Arabidopsis thaliana: one gene and its partners. The protein of the gene in region 2 purifies or fractionates together with the protein of the main gene of each other region. This does not show direct contact. Each region holds a gene or a part of one and is shown on either strand. Other genes may lie near its edges.

Region 1 (5,076 bases), 7.0 Mb from region 2:
AGGTATGCTAGCTTCAAGCTCTTCTTCGTTAATCTTTGCTATTCTTCTCTCAAAGGGCTAGACTTTACCGTATCTCTCGTAAGAAGGACGAACCTTTGCATTTGTGTTTATGATTTATGATTGTTGCTAAAACCTTTCTCTTTATGTCCCTTTGCAGTTGGAACTAACCAAGGTTCTTCTATTGGGCTCGGCAAGCCAGACGATTATTGGTAGGCCTATTTTGCCAGATGCGACAGTTCATGCTGTAGTTGAAGAGCATGTAAGTGTCTCATTGACTTGCTTGGTGTTTTATAATACTAGTGAAGCTGTGCTTAAGAATAATTTACAATTGAAAAGAGGATAGATGAGAGTTTGCTTGCTGAATCCGGTGACTGAGAGAAACTAAATCAAACTGTCTGCTGATTAGTTTGTGAAAGTCTTGCAAGTCATTAGATTAGTGTTCATCTATCTCTACATCATCTGAATGTCTTGATTTAAGATGGGCTTGGAATGTAGAAGGATCTACTCATGTACCAGCATTACTCAACTAGTTTTTCCTTGATGCGTGACAGGCTTTGGATGAAAAAGTGCTCATTTTCAAAAAGAAACGAAGAAAGAATTATAGGAGAACGAGAGGACATCGACAGGTATACTTTATAACTCCTTGTTTAGATAGACAGTGTGTTTATTTCATCTTTGCCTTCTTCTAGTTCTTTCCACTGTGTTATGATTGTTGTTTTTGACCATTCAACACTTGTGTCCAGGAATTGACGAAGTTGAGAATAACCGATATACAAGGAATTGAAAAACCAGAACCGAAGATCGTCCATAAGCCTTCGAAAGAAGCTGTTACAGAACAGACGAAGGCTGAGCTAGTTGCTTAGAGATAAAATTTGCTTCTTTCTTTTTTGCTGATGCCGATACATTTGAAGTAAGTTAAATTATCACTTGCTGTTCACTAAGAACTAGATTTTAAAGTCGTTGAAATGATGAAAAGGCCTTCTTGGTAGTTAGTGGTAAGTAACTAGGCTCCTGAGATATGAAATGTGATTTGCCTTTCACTGTCTTGTTCTCCTTGCTCTTCATTTTGTATTTAAACTGGCTCATGCTTGTGGGAGCTGTTTGTTGCTTCTGTTTCAGAAATAAAGATTTGCGGAAACATCTCTCTCCTTATCTTCTCTATGCTTTGTACTTTGTACTGTACTACTGTGGTTTGGTTATGGTTTAATTTACTTCTTCATGCAAGTCTCGGTCACAGATATGAAACTGGTGGTAAATTGGTAATAACTGCAAGTCACATTACACTCAAAATCTCGATTTTTTCCACTATGACTCTTTAGATCAGGTGATTATTATTGTAACTATATATGGCAACCACTTCCTCATCAACAAATGATTCACAGAATTGATAGTACTTGGAACTGATTTATAATTTCTTTTATCAACATCGGAAAATCGTGTAAGAATGCCTTGAAATATTTGAATGTTTGTAAATAGTATCAAAACCATTGTTTGTATAAATATGTATAAAGAACTTAAACAAAAGCAATTTGGAGCCAAAGAGAATTATAAAGCTACACGAGTACGTAAGTCCATGGTTAAGATCGGGTCGGGTGGGGACGGGTTGGATAAAAGCAAACAATGAGTCAAGTAAAAGAAGAATCATCGTCAACAAGAGAGAGAGAGAGATAAGCACAAACGCGGCTTTTCTTCTCCTTATAAATAAGAGAAGCTCAGTGCGTTACTCAAATGGCCGTCACTTTGGTAACGTCCTTCGCTTCTTCGTCTTCTCGCTTCCATTTCCGCTCATTCTCCTCTTCTCCGTCGTCTCTCTCCTCTTGTTTCGTCCGATTCCAGTTCCCCTCTCGCCTTAGACTCGCTTTTGCCGTCACGCCTCTCTACTCTTCTTCTAGAGCCATGGCTCATACAATCTCACACGCTACTCTCGGCCTCACTCAGGCTAACTCCGTCGATCATCCTAAGGTTTGTTCCTGATCGCTTGCAGCATTATTCGATTTTGCTGTTATGTGTTTAAACTCGATACTAGTGAATGCTTTGTAGATTCGTCGCTTTACTGTTTCCGATTAAGATGATCCACTGATTTGCTGACTTCGATTATGGTCAAGTCTTGTCAGAGATTAGCTTTCGAGTTTGAATTTTTGTGGTTAATTGGATTCTGATTAGTCGAATTTGCTGTATCAGATCTCATTTTCGGGGAAGGAGATCGACGTGACGGAATGGAAAGGTGATATACTCGCTGTTGGAGTGACGGAGAAAGACATGGCTAAGGATGTGAACTCCAAGTTCGAAAACCCGATTCTGAAGAAGCTTGATGCTCACTTGGGTGGACTTTTAGCTGATGTCTCGTCTGAGGAAGATTTTTCTGGGAAACCTGGTCAGTCGACAGTTCTTAGGCTTCCGGGTCTTGGGTCTAAGCGAGTTGGTTTGATTGGTCTTGGAAAATCTGCTTCAACTCCTTCGGCTTTTCAGAGTCTCGGTGAGGCTGTTGCTGCAGCTGCTAAAGCTTCTCAAGCTAGCAGTGTTGCAGTTGTTCTCGCCTCCTCTGAGAGTGTTTCTAATGAATCTAAGCTCTGTTCTGCGTCAGCTATAGCTTCAGGTGTTTTATTTGTTGTTGTTGTGGTTTCGTCTATTAAAGCTCGAGAATGGTTGTTTCATTACCATTTTGGAACTGATCGTTATGTGGAATTGTTGTTTATTTTTACAGGCACAGTGCTTGGTTTGTTTGAAGACAGCCGGTATAAGTCTGAGTCGAAGAAACCATCACTCAAATCTGTAGATATCATTGGCTTTGGCTCTGGACCTGAACTAGAGAAGAAGCTTAAGTATGCTGAACATGTTTCTTATGGCGTTATTTTCGGGAAAGAACTCGTTAATTCTCCAGCCAATGTTCTCACTCCTGGTGAGGATTGTTTCTTGAGCATCAGTCTTAGACTTTTCATTTTTTTTTTTTTTAATAATGTGAGCATCATGTCTGTTGAAGTTTATTTCAAACATTTTTCTCTAATCTGCTTTGTATCTTACAGCCGTACTAGCTGAGGAAGCCTTGAATCTGGCTTCCATGTACAGTGATGTCATGACTGCCAACATCTTGAACGAGGAGCAATGCAAAGAGTTGAAGATGGGTTCATATCTTGCTGTAGCTGCTGCTTCAGCTAATCCACCTCATTTCATACATCTTATCTACAAACCTTCTAGTGGCCCTGTTAAAACAAAACTTGCTCTTGTTGGAAAAGGATTGACATTTGACAGGTACTAGAGCTGTTGGCTTCTGTTTGCCGCATCAATCTCTTTATTTAATACTTATTAGTTATTGACCAGATGGTTTTTGTTCACAGCGGTGGCTACAACATTAAAACCGGGCCTGGCTGCTTAATTGAGCTCATGAAATTCGATATGGGAGGTTCAGCTGCTGTTCTTGGCGCTGCAAAAGCCATTGGTCAAATTAAGCCTCCAGGTGTTGAGGTAAGTTTATCACACGGAGCTTGCGTTTCTGAGTTAAATGAATGTACCTAAACAAATGCTTCGTTGCACAATCAGGTGCACTTTATTGTCGCAGCTTGTGAGAATATGATAAGTGGTACTGGAATGAGACCTGGAGATGTCCTCACAGCCTCAAACGGAAAGACGATTGAGGTATCATAACACCGTTTCCATATGAATTCAGCTTCAAAAGGTTCGAGCTTTCCATTGTTAGTTTTACGCCAAACTAATTGTGGGTGGTATTGCAGGTCAACAACACCGATGCTGAAGGTCGACTAACACTTGCAGATGCTTTAGTTTATGCTTGCAACCAGGGTGTCGATAAGGTATTGTTTCAAAGATTCTTCGACTTATTAATACATTCTTTCTGTTGGTTTTTCTCTCAAGTCTCAACTTGTGAATTACAATATTTGCAGGTTGTTGACCTTGCAACATTGACTGGGGCTTGTATTATTGCTCTTGGAACATCAATGGCAGGTACATAGTCTTGTGTTTTAAATAAGACAGAATAAAATTCTTTCGTGATGGTTGACTATTGGTTTTTCTGCAGGCATATATACACCTAGTGATAAGCTTGCAAAGGAGGTGATTGCTGCATCAGAGAGGAGTGGAGAGAAGTTATGGAGAATGCCTATGGAAGAGAGTTACTGGGAGATGATGAAGTCAGGTGTTGCAGATATGGTTAACACTGGAGGCCGTGCAGGTGGATCCATTACCGCGGCTCTTTTCTTGAAACAGGTGAGTATATCATAAGAGTGGAAACAAAAGAACACATTTCAATACTGACGCTATTGTTCTCTAACGAAGAACCGGGTTTGGTTAATGGTTGCAGTTTGTGAGCGAGGATGTTGAGTGGATGCACATAGATATGGCTGGACCAGTGTGGAACGAGAAGAAGAAAGCTGCAACTGGGTTTGGAGTTGCGACACTAGTTGAGTGGGTACAGAACCATTCTTCTTCTTAAGATGAAGTCTGGTGATCTCTGACTGATGTGAACTAGTTGTGTTTTTGCTTTGTGTGGTGGGACAAGTTTTTTTTTTTTGTGCAACTAAGTATGACAAGTTAAATCAATCAGAAGATTAGTTTTGTTGTTGTATGCTTACCTAGTCTAAACTTAAATTCAACAACCACCGTGAGAGACACAGTTGAGCCACCGTTGTTGCTGTGTCCCGTCATGTTGTTGTATTTGAATGGGTCCGTGAGTTGTTGAGAAGGAGAGATAGTCGCCGTTCATCACCACTACAGCCACCGTGTGTCACCGGAGAGTGACACCACGAGTCACAGGATGTCAACCGCTGTCACCGGAGTAGTCGTAGTCCATCGCCAAGGCCGTTAAGGGTAAGGAAACCCTAGATCTATTATGTAACTTGCTCAGGAAGTTTTTGGCTTTCTCTTATGATCTGTGCTTTGTTTTGGTTTTGATTGTTGAGCTATGAGACCTTACTGCCGTGAGCTTAAACCGCCTCATCGAGCCCCGAGCAGATCCACCGAGAGTAATCGCCGAGAAAGGTAACGGCGAACCTTATCTCCCGTGTTTGTTGTTGATTATTGAACCGGATCTTAACCAGTCTAAACCAATGACTCTTAATTTAGTTA
Region 2 (4,741 bases):
TGGATTTCTAGATTAATTCCTCTCAAGTACTACACTCAAAGTTGTACAAGCCCAAGTTTGCATCGAGAACCAGAAGAACCTCCTCATCATTCTTGGTCGAACGTACTGGTTTCATGCGTTTCGTAGGAAACGCTAATTCGAATCTTACTCCATAAACTCTCGAGGCCGTACTCGTTCACCACTTTGAATTTTAACCTGCCCCCTACGTAGTTCCGCCACTGGTTTCGGGTAAACAGTTCATGTTTCAGTTCGGATCAGATATTATCATGTACCCGAATACCAAGCCTTAAGACCCATTTTGGTATTTATCTAGAACGGGCTTGGACTCTTGAGTATTTTCAGTCGGGTTTGGGTTCCTACTTCGAGTCCAGTTTTTATTTTCTACCCCTCTCTTTGTAGGAACGTTCACATTCTTCTTGCAAAAGTAATAAATTTTGAAATTTTCAAAGCAGATTTTATCAGTGATGACATAGAATTGAAGAAAATGAAAACGAATCTTATAGCTAAATGCTATCAAAAATTTATATTGGAAAAGCCTTTTTGAATACTTAAGAGAACTTTGAAACGTGTACGATAATAACTACAACCATAAAATCCCCCACGAATCGAACCATGTGTTGTTCGTGTCCTAACACACATTATTAAAGATGAGCATTTGAGACATTCATTCAACAAAAGTCGCTAACACTGGGATGCCGAAAACAAGTTTCCCCTTTTTTTTTGGTTTCTCATTTGTTTGAAGAGTACAACGCTAAACAGAACACACAAAATAAAATCAAGAGGGAAACTAAACCAAAAACTAATTTAAGTTTCATGAAAAATGGAGAAAACAAGCACAACCTTCAAAAGCCAATAACCCTTATTAATACTGATATTTGGTCAACTTCATCAGAAGACCAATATCTCAAACTGTTCCACTCTCCCACCACAACCCAACACAAAACCACAAGTAGATCCGAACCTGAACCGCTTTGTCGACTCTCTCTCTCTCTCAGTACCTGTAGTGAGGAGGCTTGTATGGTCCCTCAATTGGAATGCTGACGTAGTCAGATTGGTCCTTTGACAGCTTTGTAAGCCTGGCTCCAAGCTTGCCCAAGTGAAGTAATGCAACCTTCTCATCCAAATGCTTGGGAAGAACGTACACCTTCTTCTCGTACTTTCCGCTTGCTTTCTCGTTCCAGAGCTCGAGCTGGGCAATCACCTGGTTGGTGAAAGAGCAAGACATCACGAAACTTGGGTGACCAGTGGCACAACCCAAGTTCATCAGACGACCCTCAGCCAAGACAATGATTCCAGCCTTGGTCTCTGGGAACACCCACCTGTCAGTCTGTGGCTTGATGGTGATACGCTTCACACCAGGGTAAGTCTCAAGTCCAAGCATGTCAATCTCATTGTCAAAGTGACCAATGTTGCACACAATAGCGTTGTTCTTCATCTTCCTCATGTGGTCGACCATGATGATGTCTTTGTTACCGGTGGTGGTGACAAAGATATCAGCTTCTGAGACAACATCCTCAAGGGTAAGAACCTGAAGTCCTTCCATCAAAGCTTGAAGGGCACAGATGGGATCAATCTCAGTCACAATGACTCTAGCACCAGCAGTCTTCATGGCAGCAGCACAACCCTTTCCAACATCACCATATCCACAGATAACAGCAACCTTTCCAGCGATCATGACATCAGTGGCCCTCATGAGACCATCAGGGAGTGAGTGACGGCAACCATACAAGTTGTCGAACTGTAAATCAAGAACAAATGAATTTATCAGTAACAGCACATAAGTGTAAACAAAACGTTGAATATAAAATCAAAGAAAGCATGAGAAATATTGACTTTTCATGCAAATTCTGTAACCAAGGAAGGACTTTTCTCTACTAGATCGTAATACTTTCAACAACCAACAATGAAAAGCTTGCTTCTACTTAGTGATTATGTTGTTGTTAAGCCTATCGCATCAAAAACTACAGAGCTAAAGACCTAGCAGATTTATCATCACTAGTAAAGAAACAAATCTGAAGATCAATACCTTGCTCTTGGTGACAGAGTCGTTAACGTTAATGGCAGGGAACAAAAGAGTTCCATTTTGCTGCATCTGGTAAAGCCTCTTAACACCAGTGGTAGTTTCCTCAGAGACACCAACAAGTCTCTCCTTCATCTTGTGGTACTTCTTAGGATCAACTTGAAGACCTTCCTTGATAATAGACAACACGATCTGAAACTCAGGGTTATCAGTAGAAGTAGGATCAGGAACTTGACCAGTCTTCTCAAAGATCTCCTCAGCTTTAACACCCTCATGAATCAAAAGAGTAGCGTCACCACCATCATCAACAATCAGATCAGGACCACCACCTGGACCCCAATCTAGAGCACGCTCGGTACACCACCAGTACTCCTGAAGAGTCTCACCTTTCCAGGCGAAAACAGCGGCGGAGTCACGAGCGATGGCTGCGGCGGCGTGGTCTTGAGTGGAAAAGATGTTGCAGGAACACCATCTGACTTCAGCACCGAGAGCAGTTAGGGTTTCGATGAGTACGGCGGTTTGGATGGTCATGTGAAGAGATCCGGTGATTCTAGCGCCTTTGAATGGCTGAGAAGGTCCGAATTCGGTACGACAAGCCATGAGTCCAGGCATCTCAACTTCGGCGAGCTCGAGTTCGAGACGACCGAAATCGGCTTGAGACATGTCTTTGACCTTGTATTCACGGCCACTTGAGGTCTTCTCGACGAGCAACGCCATGGTTGAGCTAGATCTGAGATTTGAATCCGAAAGGAGGCAGAGAGAGAGAGAGAGAGAAGTGTGTGCGAGGAGAAGAGAAAGGGAGTGACAGAGAATATATAGATGAGGTCAAAATGAAATGAACGGTTCAGATTGTTTTGAGGGTTTGGTGGATCTGGTAGAAGTTGTAATCCCGTGGATGACGGAACACGCTGCACGAGCGGTATGACCCGTGTTGTAAGCTTGTCGTGGGTTAGATCGGACGGTGATGTGGGAGGGTGGACACGTGGCTGTGTTTTATTTGTTTCAGTGAATCGTAGATCGTAGTTATTGACTTATATTGAGAACCCTAACGGGCCGTCACAGTAGCCCAAGTGAAGAATCAGTTGATATCTTTTCGATGACTATTATCAACTGTTGTTTATTTACGGTATATTTCTGTTGAATCTTGGTTTAACAATTCAAACTACATATTTAAAATTTGTAACATTTTTTCCCAAGAAAAACAATCTAGATCAGTTTATAGTCCCGCTTGTATCGCGCTAATGGTATCACTCACTCAACGGTCATATGGATTATGCATTGTTCTCGTATCATTTTCACTCTAAAGTCACTTAAGTTGCATTATCATTCTGCCATGAATTCCCTCGTCTGAAGTCATTTAATTTATGAGATCTCGTTCGTCTGATTGGACCACGAGAAACGTCCCATGTTCTCCGCTTATTGTAACGACATATTTCTAAATTAATGCCTTAGATCTACCACGACATGTGAATGTGACTTTTCTGTTTGTTTTTTTTTTTTGGTTAACTTTGGCTAAATCCTTTTACATATTTCAGAACATTTTGTTTATAAGATCCGTCAATTTTCATATTAAAATAGACAATTCAACCCGCTATATACGGAAAATTGAAATCTAGAACTTTTTATTTATTTTTGTATATATATAGGTTCTTTTTTTAATCAAAGAAACAAATATACAACTTATTCAAACCTAAATTATCAGATTTAACACCTAAATCCCAGTATGAATCCGTATTAAAGTTGGGTTGAAAATAAAAACAATAACTTGTTTTTGAAGAAAGAGTATCAATAGGTGCAAATGCAATAGCCACCAAGCATTTACACTAGTGGCATTGTGTGTGTGTGTGTGCTGTTTGGATCTGGACCTGCGCGTGTAGGAACGTCGGTGGATCTGACTGATCTTAAAAGATCAAAACAGAATTAAACAATGTGGTATTAATTATATTAATTATACTTTAGTATATATATATTTATTGTAATTATATTATGTTGTGTGATTTACCAAAAGAATCGTAATATTTCAAAGCAGCCGACAGTGAGAATCATAGCAATTATGTGGCGATGTGCGTTTCTTTTTTCTTGTTTTGGTGGTACTATGCAGATCTAACATGTTACTATCTTTATATGTTTATGAATTTTAAATGTACTTTTCGAATTTTAAATAGATCTTGTTCTCGATAGAAACTATATACATTGTACTACTTTTGCTATTAAACGAGTAACAATCGTATATTTCAATAAATTTATAATAGTCTATCTCCACCCATAATGTTTCACATCCGGGTGATACATAGCACTGACCATTTATTATCCCAAGACTTTGAGCACTCAAAAGACTATTTGATAAATTTATTCGAGAGTTATGAAACTGGTAGTGGTAGGTTTGGAAAATAAATTACACGAAATAAAAGCTGGAGGGTACTGGATTAAGACATTCGATTCTATTCAATCGACCAGAAAAGGACAACACTCGAGTTGTGTCAATTTCAGTGTAGCTTTTGGCTACAAAGGACATAAATATTTCTGAGTTAAGTAGACCAGTAATCTTATAGCTTATAAGACAGTGACAAAAGTTTATGGTAAGAAGATTGAGTAGTATCTTTGGGCTCTCCAAATAATGGTGAGTTTGTTACAATTTACGATGAATAATCTTGGTGACTGGTGGCTTATGCTATTCTTACAAATGGCCAGCACCAAGTCAAAATATATATCTTCTCGAGG
Region 3 (5,317 bases), on a different chromosome or scaffold from region 2:
ATATATGAAAACTAAAACTGAATCATTGTAATAATATCTCTTCATTTTTGGCTTTTGTAATAATTATTCCGGTATGGACATACAGTTCTTTTTCAATTTGGATTGGTTCCTCTAGATACGTAAGCAATAAACTGGCATAACAGAAATGATTTGTTAATTGTTGCTTCTTTTTTTTCTGTTTTGAAAGAAATAGGAAACAGGGTTTGGGATCAAAAGATCTTCAACAATGTGAAGGTTCGTGTACTTCCCAGTGCTTCAAGGCGTGGACCTGGGCAAACCGGTTAGAAAATCAGTACTAAGGAACAAAAGGAGTATTAAGTAGAATAGTTACTTCAAAATATTATCAAAAAAATATTTTATTTTATGATAGATAAAAGTCATGTTTTGTAACCACTCATATGCTGTTTTTTTTTCAAAAGATGTTCAATTATTGCATTTGACATTATGGTTCATAAAATTTGAAGTGGTTACCGAAAAAAGTAATGAAAAGGAGAACCCAATGTTGAAGACTTCAAAAGTAGAAATTTCAGACAGTATTTTTGCACGACTAAAACAAAGTACCACTTTATTCAACTTTTGACGATTTTACTTTTCATAACAAGTTAAGAACATCTGAAAACATAGTAACTTTTGAGACCTTATTAAAAACCAGCAATCATTTCAACACCCGAAAAACTCTACAGTCTCTCCCTCACGCTCTCTAGGTTTCATTCACGAAGATGAATTCTTCTGTACCCATTCAACAAGCGTAGCAACACCAAACCCGGTCCCAGACTTCTTCTTCTCGTTCCACACCGGTCCAGCCATGTCGATATGCATCCATTGCACCTTCTCACTCACAAACTGCCATACCACAGAAAATAGAGGATGGTTTAGTTACTTTCACCGACGAATTTTTTGTCAAAAACATGTATGTATAGCCTCTAAAGGGACTTTGTTTTCACCTGTTTCAAGAAGAGAGCCGCGGTGATGGATCCTCCTGCCCGCCCGCCTGTGTTGACCATATCAGCCACTCCAGACTTCATCATCTCCCAATAGCTCTCTTCCAGTGGCATCCTCCACAGCTTCTCTCCACTCCTTTCTGATGCAGCAATCACTTCCTTTGCAAGCTCGTCGCTAGGTGTATAGATTCCTATCAAGTAATGAACACAGAATGATCATCATGAGCCAATTTTGGACTCAAAAACGACACAAAGATTGAGTTTTTCTGCAGGGTTTTTGAGCTGTGTACCTGCCATTGAAGTTCCAAGAGCAATAACACAGGCCCCGGTCAAAGTAGCGAGGTCAACAATCTGCAAGATATTTGACAATGTTTAACTGAAAGGATAAATTTAACAGAAACAAGCTCCTTTAGCTTCTCATATCAATAAAGTAATGCAATACCTTGTCGACGCCTTGGTTACAAGCATACACTAGAGCATCTGCGAGTGTTAGACGACCTTCAGCATCTGTGTTGTTGACCTACACACACCATCGCCAACAATTAGCATTTCATAGGAAAAACAGTAAAAGCTCAACTCTGAGGGGGAAAAAATCATCAGATACCTCAATGGTCTTTCCGTTTGAGGCAGTGATGACATCTCCAGGTCTCATTCCGGTTCCACTAATCATATTTTCACAGGCTGCAACGATGAAATGAACCTGGTTGTGGAAGACGAATCTGTTCAGTTCGGTTAACAAACTATAGCTTTCAAAAGAATCTGATGGGAGAAACTAACCTCAACACCAGGAGGCTTAATCTCACCAATAGCTTTCGCAGCGCCAAGAACAGCAGCTGAACCGCCCATGTCGAATTTCATGAGCTCAATTGAGCAGCCAGGTCCAGTCTTAATGTTGTAGCCACCACTGTGTACACAAGATATTCAAATCAACAACCACTAAAATAACAAAGAAAAGATACCAGCTCGTAACAGAGTAAAATTCAAAGCAATACAGAATGATTAGTTACCTGTCAAAGGTCAATCCTTTTCCAACAAGAGCAAGTTTGGTCTTAACAGAGCCATTCGGAGGTTTATAGACAAGGTGGATGAAGTGAGGAGGATTAGCCGACGCAGCAGCAACAGCTAGGTAAGAACCCATCTTCAACTCTTTGCATTGCTCTTCGTTCAAGATGTTTGCAGTGAAGACATCACTGTACGTAGAAGCCACCTTTGCTGCTTCCTCAGCTAGTACAGCTGAAACGATACAAAAATCAAAGCAGTTTAGGAAAACTCAGCGAACACCACACAAACACGAAAATATTTGATTTCATAAATGACAACAATTCATACCAGGAGTAAGCACATTGGCAGGAGAATTAATGAGCTCTCTCCCGAAAATTACACCGTAAGAAACATCTTCAGCATACTTCAGCTTCTTTTCTACCTCAGCCCCAGTTCCAAATCCAATAATATCAACAGCTTTCAAAGATGGTTTCTTTGATTCAGACTTATACCTACCATCTTCAAATAAACCAAGTACTATGCCTATCCAAAAATAAACAATGAGACCCCAAATCAGTTCCAATTTCCAAAACAGTACTAAACAAGACTCGAACTTGTGTTATACTAATTGAAGTTACCTGAAGCTAAAGCTGATACAGAACTAAGCTTAGATTCATCAGAAACACTTGAAGCAAGCACAATAGCAGCACTAGTAGATTGAGAAGCTTTTGAAACTGTAGCTACAGCTTCACCAAGGCTATGAAAAGCCACCGGAGACGAAACAGACTGTCCAAGACCGATCAAAGCGATTCTCTTTGATCCTAAACCCGGAAGCCTGAGAACAGTCGATTGACCAGGTTTCCCAGTGAAATCTTCCTCGGAAGAGACTTGAGCTAAAAGTCCACTTAAGTGAGCATCGACCTTGCTCAAGATCGGATTCTCAAACTTTGAGTTACCGTCTTTGGCTAAGTCCTTCTCTGTCACACCAACTACGAGTATGTCTCCTTTCCATTCAATTACATCGATCTCCTTCGCAGTGAACGAGATCTGCATAATCGTCACCAAAAGATCAAAACTTCAAACTCGAATCAATCAAAAAATCAAAACTTTGAACTAAATCAAAACTGGATTCCATACAAAATCATTTCAAAATCACAGTGAAGGAAACAAACCTTGTGAGGCTCAGTGGAGTTGGGTTGAGTGAGACCGAGAGTGTGAGCCATGGTTATTGCTATTGAAGAGAGGTGTTGTGTGATTGAACTCTGAAAAGGAAGACGAAAGAGTAAACAATGAAAAGTTAGGATTGGTCTTTCAAAGGCGTATATATAGAAGGAGAAGTTAGGTGTGATTTACACATGTGTGATGTGTGTTAGTGAGTAGCTCAATTAGGCTTGAACATTCGGACTTCGGATTGGATTTTATTACGATAATTCGGGTTTTGGATTTGTAGGGTAAAATAGGGTTTTGGATTTTTTAGACATTCGGACTTTGAATCGGATTTTATTAGGGTAATTCGGGTTTTGGATTTGTAGGGTAAGACATGGTTTTGGATTTTTTAGATAGGGAGATTTCGGAAGGTACTGAATATGTTTCGATCGGTTCGTTTTGGATTTATACGGGTTCGGAATGGTTCTCGAAAAAAAAAAAATGCGACCATAGAATCGAAATATGTTCTGATTCGATTTTTGAATCGAAAAACTCCAAAAACCTAAACGATGTATATAGAAAAACGCTCCAAATGATCCTTAAAATCCAAAAATATGTGTATATATTGTTTTGTGTTTTTTGGGTTTACGTTTGGATTTTATTTTTTGGTATAATGGTTGGGTTGTAGGTGTTTTTGAGTATCCGTTTGGGTTTCAATTTTTTTTTAATGTTCGGATTTCAGATTTTACCAGTATATAACCGAAAATCGAAACATATAATTTAAGATCTGTTAGGATAATAACAACTTTTTGATTTGGAAATTTTTTTGGGCGAATTTCTTAAGAGAAGGTCGAAATAATAAAAGACAAAATTATAGTAGAAGTTGTTATTTTCAGCAACCTTATCAAACATATCTCTATGAGATATGCAAAAGTTTTAGCTTCAGTCGTGTTGAAGTGTTCTAGGTGGAATGGTTTAAATGGGTGAAAGGGCATCGATCATGCTATCGAGCTAGTCACTTCTGACTCTGATTTTGGGCACTGTTTCGTCGATCGTTGGTCATTTTGTGCCGCCTTTGATATCTGATCAAGTATCCACAAATCCGTCCACACCAATATTTTGAAGGTAAACCCCATTTCCTAATATCAAAAATACTATTCGCCGTCCGGAACATTGACAAGTACACGGCGTACCAGTCAAACATGGAGCCTAATCAATTCAACTATTTTTTCTATTTTGTTTTGTCGACAATGGTCTAATTGATACATGAGAAATTAGGCTGTATGACCATAAAAATTTAATAATTCAATAACTAACTTAAAAAAAGTTGACTACATGATTATGTGTATAACATGTAATATATACTAATCTACCCATTTGTTCACATGTCATATGTATCTTTTGATTCTTTTTCTGAATTTTGTCTTCTTTTTTTCTTTTGTATTTTGAAGTATGATCATTTTTAATTGTGTTTATGTTAAAATTTTAATAATATTATTGTTACTAATAAAATTTCACATTATGACTTTTACTATTTTAAAATCATTTTTTATTTTATTAGTTTTTTGTTAATAATTAATATTAATAGAAATAAATATTTATTAAATGAACATTGTAATTATAATTTAGTGTTAAAAAAAAAAAATGGTGACATGGCTTTGTTTGATTGGATGTTTACCATGATGATATGTACACATTAAGAGAACAGAAAACTCTTCCATAATATATATTAGTTAATAACACTAAGAATGGTGAGAGTGATATTAACATGGACATGGTTCCATTTTCATAATGCGTTTTTTGAAAGACAATCGTTACATTTTCAACTCTTTTTCAATGTTGGAAACCGCAAATTAATTACCAAATAGGCAAATAAATACTCGAACGAGTTTCATTAAAGATAATTAAAGCCAGTTCTTCATTTCTTTCATATAAATCAGACAATAATCCCATGTTATTTTCATCACCCAGTTACAAACTTGAAAAAGAATCACACATCAGAATATTTTAATTTTTCTTTTGTTTTGCCATAAGAATATATATCATGACGATAAAGAATGTACTTTTTGTTCTAGTAACCATTTGTGTAGCAGTTTCTGTAAATGCTCAACTACAGCAATATCCGATTATTTTCTCAAACCCGCTTCCATTTCTGCGCTCGACTGGTATACTAAACCTACCAGACGTAAAAAAATGTTTCTCGTCCGTGAGGAATGTTCCAGGATGCTTATTAGAGATCTCTCAAGCTT

What was found. Proteins that work in one complex are often made in the same cells at the same time.
Region 1: the proteins of HOG1 (region 2) and LAP2 fractionate together in Arabidopsis thaliana (co-fractionation; one large-scale study listed by BioGRID). This does not show direct contact.
Region 3: the proteins of HOG1 (region 2) and LAP1 fractionate together in Arabidopsis thaliana (co-fractionation; one large-scale study listed by BioGRID). This does not show direct contact.

What each region holds. Positions count from the first base shown.
Region 1 is NC_003075.7:15,045,957-15,051,032, reverse strand, and holds LAP2 (Cytosol aminopeptidase family protein), read left to right. Parts: upstream 1-1,594; 5' UTR 1,595-1,728; coding exon 1,729-1,962; intron 1,963-2,181; coding exon 2,182-2,596; intron 2,597-2,704; coding exon 2,705-2,899; intron 2,900-3,023; coding exon 3,024-3,249; intron 3,250-3,335; coding exon 3,336-3,462; intron 3,463-3,537; coding exon 3,538-3,633; intron 3,634-3,728; coding exon 3,729-3,806; intron 3,807-3,896; coding exon 3,897-3,957; intron 3,958-4,030; coding exon 4,031-4,218; intron 4,219-4,312; coding exon 4,313-4,444; 3' UTR 4,445-4,576; downstream 4,577-5,076. Other genes in the region: NFD1 (Ribosomal protein L21), read left to right, coding at 1-2, 158-259, 552-626, 744-863. UniProt on the Arabidopsis thaliana protein: Presumably involved in the processing and regular turnover of intracellular proteins. Catalyzes the removal of unsubstituted N-terminal amino acids from various peptides.
Region 2 is NC_003075.7:8,052,927-8,057,667, reverse strand, and holds HOG1 (S-adenosyl-L-homocysteine hydrolase), read right to left. Parts: upstream 2,996-4,741; 5' UTR 2,738-2,995; coding exon 2,027-2,737; intron 1,739-2,026; coding exon 992-1,738; 3' UTR 962-991; coding exon of another isoform or gene 905-961; 3' UTR 516-904; downstream 1-515. UniProt on the Arabidopsis thaliana protein: Essential protein during embryogenesis.
Region 3 is NC_003071.7:10,286,306-10,291,622, forward strand, and holds LAP1 (Cytosol aminopeptidase family protein), read right to left. Parts: upstream 3,381-5,317; 5' UTR 3,146-3,380; coding exon 3,095-3,145; intron 2,970-3,094; coding exon 2,561-2,969; intron 2,466-2,560; coding exon 2,271-2,465; intron 2,175-2,270; coding exon 1,949-2,174; intron 1,846-1,948; coding exon 1,719-1,845; intron 1,642-1,718; coding exon 1,546-1,641; intron 1,462-1,545; coding exon 1,384-1,461; intron 1,293-1,383; coding exon 1,232-1,292; intron 1,133-1,231; coding exon 945-1,132; intron 844-944; coding exon 712-843; 3' UTR 501-711; downstream 1-500. Other genes in the region: AT2G24195 (uncharacterized protein), read left to right, coding at 188-285; AT2G24205 (ECA1 gametogenesis related family protein), read left to right, coding at 5,113-5,317. UniProt on the Arabidopsis thaliana protein: Presumably involved in the processing and regular turnover of intracellular proteins. Catalyzes the removal of unsubstituted N-terminal amino acids from various peptides.